3 linked regions of the Oryzias latipes genome follow. The protein of the gene in region 1 interacts with the protein of each later gene in a biochemical or structural test. Links are inferred from orthologs where the notes say so. Each region holds a gene or a part of one and is shown in the gene's direction. Other genes may lie near its edges.

Region 1 (4,193 bases):
GAACATGTGTGCAGAATATGGACTGGAAACCCCAAGGTCAAAATGGGAAACACCTCTGAAGGTGGTAGAGAATGAGAGGGCAAAGATCCTGTGGGACTTCCAGATCCAGACTGATAAGGATGGTAATGGCGAACCAACCAGACATTGTAGTGGTGGATAAAGAACAGAGGAAAGCCATTGTGGTGGATGTGGCAGTGCCAAGCGATGGGAACATCAGGAAGAAGGAACATGAGAAACTGAAGAAATACCAGGGACTCAGAAGAACTGGAGAAAGCATGGAAAGTGAAGGTGACAGTGGTGCCTGTGGTAATTGGAACACTCAGGGCAGTAACCCCCAAGCTGGAGGAGTGGCTGCAACAGATCCCTGAAAAGACCTCAAACCTCTCAGTCCAGAAAAGCGCAGTGCTAGGAACAGCCAAGATACTGCACAGGACCTTCAAGCTCCCAGGCCTCTGGAAGAGGACCCGAGCTTGGAGGAGAAACCACCTGCGGAAGGGTTAGAGGGGCATTTGTTTTTAGTTTTATAGACATATATAAATATATGTATGTATATATATATATAGATAGAGAGAGAGAGAGAGAGAAAGAAAGAGAGAGAGAGAGAGAGAGAGAGAGAGAGAGATAGATAGATAGATAGATAGATAGATAGATAGATAGATAGATAGATAGATAGATAGATAGACAATATATATATATATATATATATATATATATATATATATATATATATATATATATATATATATATATATATATATATATATATATATATATATATATATATATATGTATATGTATATGTATAATTTATTTATTACTATTATTTATTAGTATTTTATTAGTATTTGTATTTATAAGTATTTTTACCTTGTCAATAGTTTTCTAGTTTTGTCCATTTTCAGTTGATTTTACAAATTTATTAAAGGAAAGTTCCTTGTCTTGTTCATCCACAAGTTAAAGTATTTTGCTTTAAATGTGTAATTTCATACACAAAATGTGCATTTATTTGTCACAATTGTCGTACTTGCCATCAAACTTTAACTATGTAGAAATACCAAAGTATGTTTTAGATGGGGAGTGACACACTTTCAAAATTCTATAATTTGAGACAAATTTAAAACGGACAGCATTTCCTATGTGTTTCAAATCTTACATCAAATTTTTTTCTTAAATTTTAATAAATTTATAAATCGTCAAACAATATACTTTTGTTTATGTTTGTCTGATGAAAGCAGAATTTAATGCGACTGAATAGCTTTTCTATAATATATTGTTTTTCTTGTTTGTTTGTTTTTACAGCGTTTTGTCTTCTCAGTCAGAGGAAGTGGTTATGCGTTTCCGCCCCCGCCTCCTTCCCCCCTCTTAGAATCACACACGTACACAGCCTGAGCCAGTGTAAACCTTATTAATGTCTACGGAGTGAACGCAGAGAGGAGGGGAGCGTAGAGCACAAACGAAAGCGGCGAGCCAAGAAAATGGCGATCGTGCAGAGGATGAATGCCCCCACTCGTAGATGCTGCAAACGCATTGCATTTCTTTAGCCTTACTTAGTTTATTTTCCACTCTCTGTTGCACTTTATATTTCAATGAGGTAAGTTTTGTTTTAATTTTTATTTATTTTTTATTTATGTTCTTGTGTTAAGCTATGCAGGCAAGGAGCTGGAGGAAAGACCAGAGGTCGGTAGATAAGTTGACCAGCCGCTGTTGTTTAGTTAGCTATGACGGAGCTAATATTGTTAAGTACTACTATGCTATCCTTTCCTATCCTATCAGGTTGCGTTTAGAAAGGCGGTTTGGTTTTATAGTTTTGCTAAAGATGCAACTCTCGTTTGTTTTTTCCTAAACGCAAATGAAAAATAAAGCCATTTTAAATGTGTTAACAAGGCGGTTTAACCTTGTCCTTTCGCTTAACTATTCTAGATTGGTCGCTGTATGTTTGTAGCTAGGAAAATGCGTATTTTGTTAACTAATTGTCTTAAATGTATTTTTTTTTTACTTTGTCTAGACTATCATTGTTCTCTGTAAACAACTTACCAATATCGCTAAATTAGAGGAAAAATACCTCGTAGTTGCTATTAGCATTAGCTTAGCAACATGCTAATTTGACGACGCAGGTTCGTCGGTGGGAACAGGTAATACTGTGCACAAATTGCATTAAGAACACTGTTTTACTACTATCACTTCGCATATAAATTAAAAATGTCATGAATTAATTTCAAATCTATATTGAAATTAACCTGCGGAGTTGTTAGATAAAAGCCCCCTATGGTATAAAGCGGTACGACAGCAATACCCCTAAACCCCTAATCTGGTCTGGGTTTTTTTGTAGTCAAATCCACATTACTTTTCGTCCTGATCTTACAACACCGAGGTGGACATCAGAGTTTAGATGAATATGCATCGGTGGTAAATTTACTTATCACTCGAGGTTCTTAGATTTGATTGCAAACCTACAGCTGGAGAGAGAAGCCATGTTGGTTAAGCTGCAAGTCGGGCAACAGCTGAGATAATGGCCGTTCAGGACCCGACTTGTAACTTTGACCTACACAGACTCTCACTGTCCCCTGCTGTCACTTTACACGCACTTGGTTTCCCTTCACTTTGACGAGCTGTAAGAAACCTCTGTACCACGTTAAGGCAGTGTAAACGTGCATTTCACCACAGTTCACTTTGAGTGTATGTACTGAACTTGCATAATACTTCATGCTAGTGTCTATGCGTGCAGGATAATTTGGATGTTTGCCCTGAATGTGATTTTAGGAATGTTTCAAAGTTTGCAGGTCATATTACAAGTTAATGCCTCTGGGAACTTGTACTATGGTGTTCACTAGAATCATTTTCTTGCACAATCGGGTACTTTCTGCAGGAAAATGTTCTGGTTACACTTAACTTTATTCATTTATCTTTGGGAATAAACTATTTCCTTTCTCTTTTTGCTAAAGAGATTTGGAATTGGAAACTGTTGCCACCAAAGAAACTAAAGCGTCTTAACGGGTGAGTGAAACTCTTTTAAACCCAGGAAACTGTTGGTGATGCTGAAATGGTTTAATGCAGTTAATGATGATTGGTGACATATATAAACAAATTTATGTTCAAAACTGCATTTCTGACTTTTTCTTGACTAATGGTTAATCAGGAGCAGAGGGGGAAAATGCAGTTTGAAATGGATTGTATTTGTGATGTAGAAAAAACGTTGGCAAGCCATTCTTATGCAACCACTTGTAGACGACCAGATCCATGTCTGTCTTTGTTTTCCTCGTCTGAGCTGGCATCTGGGTCAACTGTACAGCTGGATAGCTTCAAATTTTGCTCGCCATTTTTGTTGCACCGCTAATGTTAGGTTGGGGTTGTAAGGGGCTGTAAACTTGTGGGAAAGCATGTAAACAGATGTATGATGGGAAGTGGGGGCGGACTTACTCCACACAAACAGTCCTGTCCACAACTCGGAGGTGAATTTCTAATGAACTGCTGCTGCTCTCACTGGTGTTTGATTTTGGCTAAAAATCATAATTAAATCATTATCATAATTAAAACATCACTGGATGCTTTTAAAATAGATCCAAAGATGATTTGAGTGGGTCTTTCTTTGGGGTGTTTTGTCACAAATGTTTAATAGGTTTAACCATACCCCATCTGATTTGTTGAATTATCAGTGTAAACCAAAGTGAAAGCAATACATTTTCTGAATCCCAGTATATGATGTCATGGCTGTCTGAGTGATGTTCTGTCAGCGTTGTGAGTTTGGGAAGCCGCTGGGAGGGGCGGGGGCTTGGGATGAGCTGCGCCTGCTTATGCTAGCACATGCAGTTCCGTTTGAATTGAATTGGGGGGTCTGGGTTGGTCAGGTCACATTGTGCTGAATTGTAGCCTTTCCCCCCATTTCTAAATGAGAAGCCAGCGTCCTGATGTGTTGTGCACAGGGAGGTGTTTGTACTGCTCATTGTGTTTAGACAATCATTGCACATGTAAGCACACAATAGGACTATGTCTCATGACTACTTTGTATACTCAAACGGTTCAGTTATGACCACTATTGCTGGTTTCAGTAACCAGTTATTTAGTGTTAGATCTGCTTGGTCAATTCTCTTATCTGGAGTAGGAAAATTACCCGAATTTTTATTTTGTGAAGAAAACAATCCTGTTAAGTCAACTCATGGTGTTTACCAATATACTCTATTATGGTGGTTTGCTTT
Region 2 (3,066 bases), on another chromosome or scaffold:
GCTTCTGTGATGTCATCCCACCCAACTGCATCCAGCTCCGCAACCTCATCCTCAGTGCCTTCCCACGCAACATGAGGCTCCCTGACCCGTTCACCCCCAACCTGAAGGTAAGAGAGCCCCGACTGTGCCTGTCATTCAGAACCATCACTCCGATCTTACAGACCCATTCCGTCAACATGTCCTTGTGGCACTTTTCTCCTGATTGACGACGTGTACAAAGAAAATGAAGATTATAATTGCATTTATGAAGTTATGTTCACACCGCCCCCGGCAACACGTGTTCATTTTGAATGAAAAGTCTGGGTAAACCAGCGGTTTGGTCTTCCGTGTTCAAAACTCTCGCTTAGCTAACCAAGTTTCTACCACGGTTGTACGTATAAAATACGTGACCATTGAACGCACATTGCAAGTTAAACCAGTTGAACTTGGACCAATCAGGGACTCAGATTTGGTAGTAACGTAAGGATGGGGTCCTTTTTAATTCACAGAAGTGCCAACGGTATGAAAATTGATCATGGAAGAGAAATAGATAATTGGGGTTTGTGCCCGACCGGAATTTTATGACACAGAGTCGGAAAACCGATTCCACATTTCACACCAAGCCTGTTCCAACTGTAGGTGTCGGAGATACGGAAACATGAGTAAGAAGCCCCTCCCTGCTTGTCCAGTGTGAACACCATGGGCTAAAATGTGCATTGCAAATGTGCAGAAAGTACCATCTAGACGAGCGTCACATGGATCCGTAACTGAAGTGTTTCTTTATTTAAATTATTGTGAATCCCAATCAGACAAAAAAAGTCCCATGTGCGGGGCACAAGCTGTCTGCCCCACTCTGCTTCACAACAGCGAGGAAGTGAATTTCTAATTAACTACTGCTGCTCTACAGAAACTAAGTCCTAGAAAACAACAGTTTTTTTGATGTGGGCTAAATACTGCATAAGTATAATTAAAAAAAACACTGGGAATGCTTTGAAAATAGATCAAAAGACGATGGGATTGGCACTTCAACCTGTCTGACATGACGCCCATCCCCCCACAGGTGGACATGCTGAGTGAGATCAACATTGCTCCCCGAATCCTCACCAACTTCACGGGCGTGATGCCCTCTCAGTTTAAGAAGGATCTGGACTCGTACCTGAAGACGCGCTCTCCGGTTACCTTCCTCTCTGAGCTGCGCAGCAACCTGCAGGTAGAACCAGAACCAGAACCTTCTGCTACAAAAACTGTTTTCACAGCGGCTGAGGTTTCTGTGAACTCTGCCTGGCAGGTGTCAAACGAACCAGGAAACCGCTACAACATTCAGCTGATCAACGCCTTGGTGTTGTACGTGGGCACACAGGCCATCGCTCATATTCACAACAAGGGCAGCACCCCCTCAATGAGCACCATCACCCACTCTGCACACATGGACATCTTCCAGAACCTGGCTGTGGACCTGGACACTGAGGGTTTGTTTGGGTCTGGCTGACTTTTGGAGCATTCTCGTTGCCTCTCTCCTCACATCTCTGCTTTTGTGATTTTTCAGGGCGATACTTGTTTTTGAACGCCATCGCCAATCAGCTGCGCTACCCCAACAGCCACACCCATTATTTCAGCTGCACCATGCTGTACCTGTTCGCTGAGGCCAATACTGAGGCCATCCAGGAGCAGATCACCAGGTGGGGAGGTCCCGTCCTGTCCCGTCCTGATGTGTGAACACCGGATGTCCTGTTAATCGTAGGCTCTCTGGTTCTCAGGGTTCTGTTGGAGAGGCTGATCGTGAACAGGCCTCATCCGTGGGGGCTCCTTATCACCTTCATCGAGCTCATCAAGAACCCTGCCTTTAAGTTCTGGAGTCACGACTTTGTGCACTGTGCCCCCGAGATCGAGAAGTAAGTTCACCACCCCAGGTTCAGGTCCGGTTTGTGGGCGCTTGCGTTCACCTGTCCGTCTGCGTTCACCTGTCCGTCTGCGTTTACCTGTCCGTCTGCGCTAACCTGTCCGTCTGCGTTCACCTGTCTGTCTGCGTTCACCTGTCTGTCTGCGTTCACCTGTCCGTCTGCGTTTACCTGTCCGTCTGCGCTAACCTGTCCGTCTGCGTTCACCTGTCCGTCTGCGTTCACCTGTCCGTCTGCGATTACCTGTCCGTCTGCGCTAACCTGTCCGTCTGCGTTCACCTGTCCGTCTGCGTTCACCTGTTCGTCTGCGTTCACCTGTCCGTCTGCGTTTACCTGTCCGTCTGCGTTTACCTGTCCGTCTGCGTTTACCTGTCCGTCTGCGTTTACCTGTCCGTCTGCGTTCACCTGTCCGTCTGCGTTCACCTGTCCGTCTGCGTTCACTTGTCCGTCTGCGTTTACCTGTCCGTCTGCGTTCACCTGTCCGTCTACGTTTACCTGTCCGTCTGCGTTCACCTGTCCGTCTGCGAATACCTGTCCGTCTGCGTTCACCTGTCCGTCTGCGAATACCTGTCCGTCTGCGTTAACCTGTCCGTCTGCCCCCAGGCTGTTCCAGTCCGTCGCCCAGTGCTGCATGGGGCAGAAACAGGCCCAGCAGGTAATGGAGGGCACCAGTGCCAGCTAGCCTGCGCAGCCACCAGCTAGCCTGCGCAGCCACCAGCTCAAAGCACCCGGGAGAGAAATTCGTGGCCTTGACCCGCCCCGCCCCCCCAGCACACGGACCCCCCCCACTTCACCGTTGGCACTGGACAAAACCGGCTCCTGCAGTCGTGAAATGTGAATGGAAGGACTGCTGCTCACGGATTTAAAGAGATTTTTTTTTCTTCTTTTTTTTAAGCTTTTCCCGTTAAGCTTGAGTTGAGAGGACAGATGTGAGCTTATTTTGACCATTGATGTAAATATTGAAGAAGAAAAGGGAGAGCAGGGAAGTGGATGGATGGATTTGGCTGCACATGTCAAATGTGTCCTGGTCTGTACAGAACATTTACTACCAAAGTCCTCAGTTCCTTCCCTCCAACACAAGTCTTTTTTTTTTTCTTGTTTTGTTTTTTTGAGAGGTGAACGGTAGTTACCAAAAAAAGAAAAGAAAAAAAACAACTGTCTGATATAATTTTTTCTTTGGTTCCTGATA
Region 3 (3,519 bases), on another chromosome or scaffold:
CCTCTTCAAAAGTCATGTTTGTGTCCCACCAAACTGGTTTGATGAAAATCCACTCATAAACACGATTGGAGCATGTGTGGTCGAGATGATGTGGTGCACTTTAAGCTCCAACACTCGAAGATGTGAATGCGGAACAATATGGAGCAAAAGTTACTGCTATACGTTTTAAAAAGAATAATTAAAACTTTCAAAATGAGATTAAAAAAAATTTTTTCTCAAAATATTCTGCAGCCGGATTTGAAATGCACAAAGCTCAAAATCTTTGTTTTATCGGAGATTTCTGAAACAAATCCCAAAACTCTGGAGCTTTAAGAAAAGTCCTGTTAGTCAGTTTTTGCTTGTGCATCCAGTCCAGTTCTGTCTGTGAGGCTTTGTGGGAGTGGGAGTGCTTGTAGGATTTGTGTAGCTGATTCTCACAGTGCACTGATTGGTAATGACCCTTTAATCCCTTGACGCCTATTGATGCAAATATGGATCAAGATACTGATAATAAGGATACTTCGGCTCCAAATCTACTTTAATCGAGCATTTGCATGAAAGCAAAATTATTTTTTATTTTTTCCATAGCAGGACATTAATTCAGGCATCAAGGGGTTTATTTATTTTATGTAGTCTTAAGTTATGGAAATCTTTAAAATTTTAAATTAACAACAAAAAAAACAAGAAGAGTTTTTGAGGTTAAAACGCTCAAGTTTTTGTTGACAGTAAATGTTTTTCTTTGCTGGACGAGGTAGATTCTCATTTGAAGCTTAACGGAGTCCAAAGGCTTTTTAAATATTGAACCATTTTCTGTCTTTATTCCTCAGAGCTTTTACTGATCAGCTAAGGAAGATCTCTCGCGATGCTGGGATGCCCATCCAAGGTCAGCCATGCTTCTGCAAGTACGCCCAGGGAGCAGACAGCGTGGAGCCCATGTTCAGACACCTCAAGTACACTTACCAGGGACTTCAGCTGGTGGTGGTCATCCTCCCTGGAAAGACACCCGTCTATGGTAAGTTAAAGTCCCGCTTATCTGTTCCCTGCATTTGATCCATCCCCTGGGGGAGCAGTGAGCCCCAGACAGAACCATTTGTTGGTTAAACCCCCCAATCCAACTCTTTTAATGCTGAATGTGGTGCAGGGAGGCATTGGGTCCCATCTTTTAGAGGAGAATTGAACTCACGACCCTCCAGTCTCAGAGCGAACTCTCTTCACTCCCACTGAGTTGGACATGGATGCAATTTTCTTACATCCGGTTTTGTGTAAGATTATAACGATGCATAATTGGTCAAAGGTAGATTTGTATTTTAAAAAGATCAGGTTTTTTTTATTAATGTAACTGTTCAGTTCAACATGAAAGAGAAGATTTGTGGTTAAAAGTAATGTTATGGATTTAAAGTGGTAGAATTCCCCATGGAAAAATATATATTTTTTAACTTACTGGAATTAACAAGCTAAAATGAGTTAATATTAGTTTAAATGGACTATGATGTAAAAAGAAAAGGTGGAGCCCCTCATGGTGTGTGTCTTTCTAAAGGGATCATTAAACAGGTGTACACTAATTATGATGCAAAAAAAAAGTATTCCTTACATCTTTCTGACGTTGTGTATTTCCTAGCTGAGGTGAAGCGTGTCGGGGATACAGTACTTGGAATGGCGACTCAGTGTGTGCAGGTCAAAAATGTGCAGAAGACCACACCCCAGACTCTCTCCAACCTCTGCTTGAAGATCAATGTCAAGCTGGGTGGAGTCAACAACATCCTCCTCCCTCAGGGCAGGTAAAGTGACGACTCATTTTAACTCGTTCCTCAGTAAAATGTGTATTTTGCCTTTTGTTCTTACTCTTTTGAGGCTTAAAAATACTCCATGCTGTGTTTTAATGTTTGGAGCTTTTGCCTCCTCCGTTTCCAGGCCCATGGTTTTCCAGCAGCCTGTGATTTTCCTGGGTTCAGATGTGACTCATCCCCCTGCTGGAGATGGAAAGAAACCTTCCATTGCTGCTGTGGGTGACATTCAAATTCATCTTTTACTAATTTACTAGATCATGTAAATGTCACTGCTATTATTAGTTTTTCCCTTTCATAATTATGTCCAAAATGACTGTTGCTCCAAGGTGACCAGTAGTTTGCTCCTGCTTGACCAACTATAATTGTACAGCAGCTTTGAAAGCGTATTTATTGAAGTTGTTGTCTGTAGTTCCATGAATAATCTACAGTACACTGCTTAAATTGACGTTTAAAGCTTATTTTCCTGCTCTGTAGGTGGTTGGTAGCATGGATGCTCATCCCAGTCGATACTGTGCCACAGTGCGAGTGCAGCAGCACCGCCAAGATATCATCCAAGACCTGGCCAACATGGTGAGGGAGCTGCTGATCCAGTTCTACAAGTCCACACGCTTCAAGCCCACTCGGATCATTTACTATCGAGATGGCATCTCTGAGGGCCAGTTCAACCAGGTAATGCTTGTAAAGGATTGACCATAAAACTTTGAATTTTGTGTCTTAGGGCTGGGCGATAAATTGATTTTATTGATTTTTTCAAATTTGTTGTTATGGACGATTTATTTTTGGGAAAATCCAGATTTTCTTTTCCCAAAAATCCTCTGGCAGCCGTGTCTCAAATGAAGACCAGTACAAGTAATAATTACAACGCAGTATTCTTTATTAACAAATAACAGTAACAACTAACTATCTAACTAATGAACTAACTGTATAGGCGTGCCTCGCTAAAGTGAGTGAGAGCCTTTGACTGCGATGGGCTTTAGGCAAATGTTGCAGCGTGGGGGGGCACAGATGTTGCTGCCACACGTCTGTGGCAGCAAACTAACCAGTTCCAAGCAACAGATGATTTTATTCCTTTCTTGGGAACAAACGTTCCACTCTCACCGCTAGCCATGTTGTCGCTTGCTGTTTTCTGGTGGTATGATGTTGTTTGTCGCTGGCCATACCGCTGTGTGAAACTAACGCTACGGAAGCTCTGGGGAGCCAAAAATGCGCCATTACACAAAACTCAATTTAGTTATTTTTGAAATCGCCCGTAACAAAAAATTTGAAGTAATTCATTCAATCAATTTTTTCTACCCAGGCCTAACTTAAAGCAAATTTTGCTTTTATTTAATGAAACGGAAGACAAATGTAACCTCCATTTCTGGGATGAATAGTAAATAAATGAACACACTCTTGGAATCAAAGTCCCAGCTGTATTTTCAGTCACACTTTGTAGTCTAGACTAAAAGTAGACAAACATTCACCTTGAGAGTAGCAGCATTTTCTAAAGGATTAACAATACAGCTCATATCTGGGGTCTAAGGTTTTAATTAAATTAACAAACCCCAACTTCTCCCCGGTATACATGGGTACCATGTCTTTGGCTGTATGCAAAGCAACCGCTTTGGTGATTGTTCTCCACCGTGCCCCTTTCCTAGGGATGGGTACCGAGCCCCGGTATTAAACGAGCCCCGGGGCAAAATTCTTCAAGATCTGACGTCAACGGTTCTGCTTAGTAAATCTGTCCTTTAAATTTGAGTTTACAGTTAGATGA

What was found.
Region 2: the proteins of tnrc6a (region 1) and cnot1 form a complex in vitro, tested with the Homo sapiens proteins (2 studies listed by BioGRID). The link is inferred for Oryzias latipes from reciprocal best matches to the Homo sapiens genes TNRC6A and CNOT1.
Region 3: the proteins of tnrc6a (region 1) and protein argonaute-2 form a complex in vitro, tested with the Homo sapiens proteins (2 studies listed by BioGRID). The link is inferred for Oryzias latipes from reciprocal best matches to the Homo sapiens genes TNRC6A and AGO2.

The regions. Positions count from the first base shown.
Region 1 is NC_019866.2:17,690,828-17,695,020, forward strand, and holds the start of tnrc6a (trinucleotide repeat-containing gene 6A protein), read left to right. Parts: upstream 1-1,382; 5' UTR 1,383-1,591; intron 1,592-2,942; exon of another isoform or gene 2,943-2,994; intron 2,995-4,193.
Region 2 is NC_019864.2:25,876,132-25,879,197, reverse strand, and holds the end of cnot1 (CCR4-NOT transcription complex subunit 1), read left to right. Parts: coding exon 1-107; intron 108-1,039; coding exon 1,040-1,189; intron 1,190-1,267; coding exon 1,268-1,448; intron 1,449-1,525; coding exon 1,526-1,658; intron 1,659-1,736; coding exon 1,737-1,871; intron 1,872-2,480; coding exon 2,481-2,559; downstream 2,560-3,066.
Region 3 is NC_019869.2:10,709,201-10,712,719, forward strand, and holds part of protein argonaute-2, read left to right. Parts: intron 1-806; coding exon 807-991; intron 992-1,597; coding exon 1,598-1,757; intron 1,758-1,890; coding exon 1,891-1,981; intron 1,982-2,240; coding exon 2,241-2,435; intron 2,436-3,519.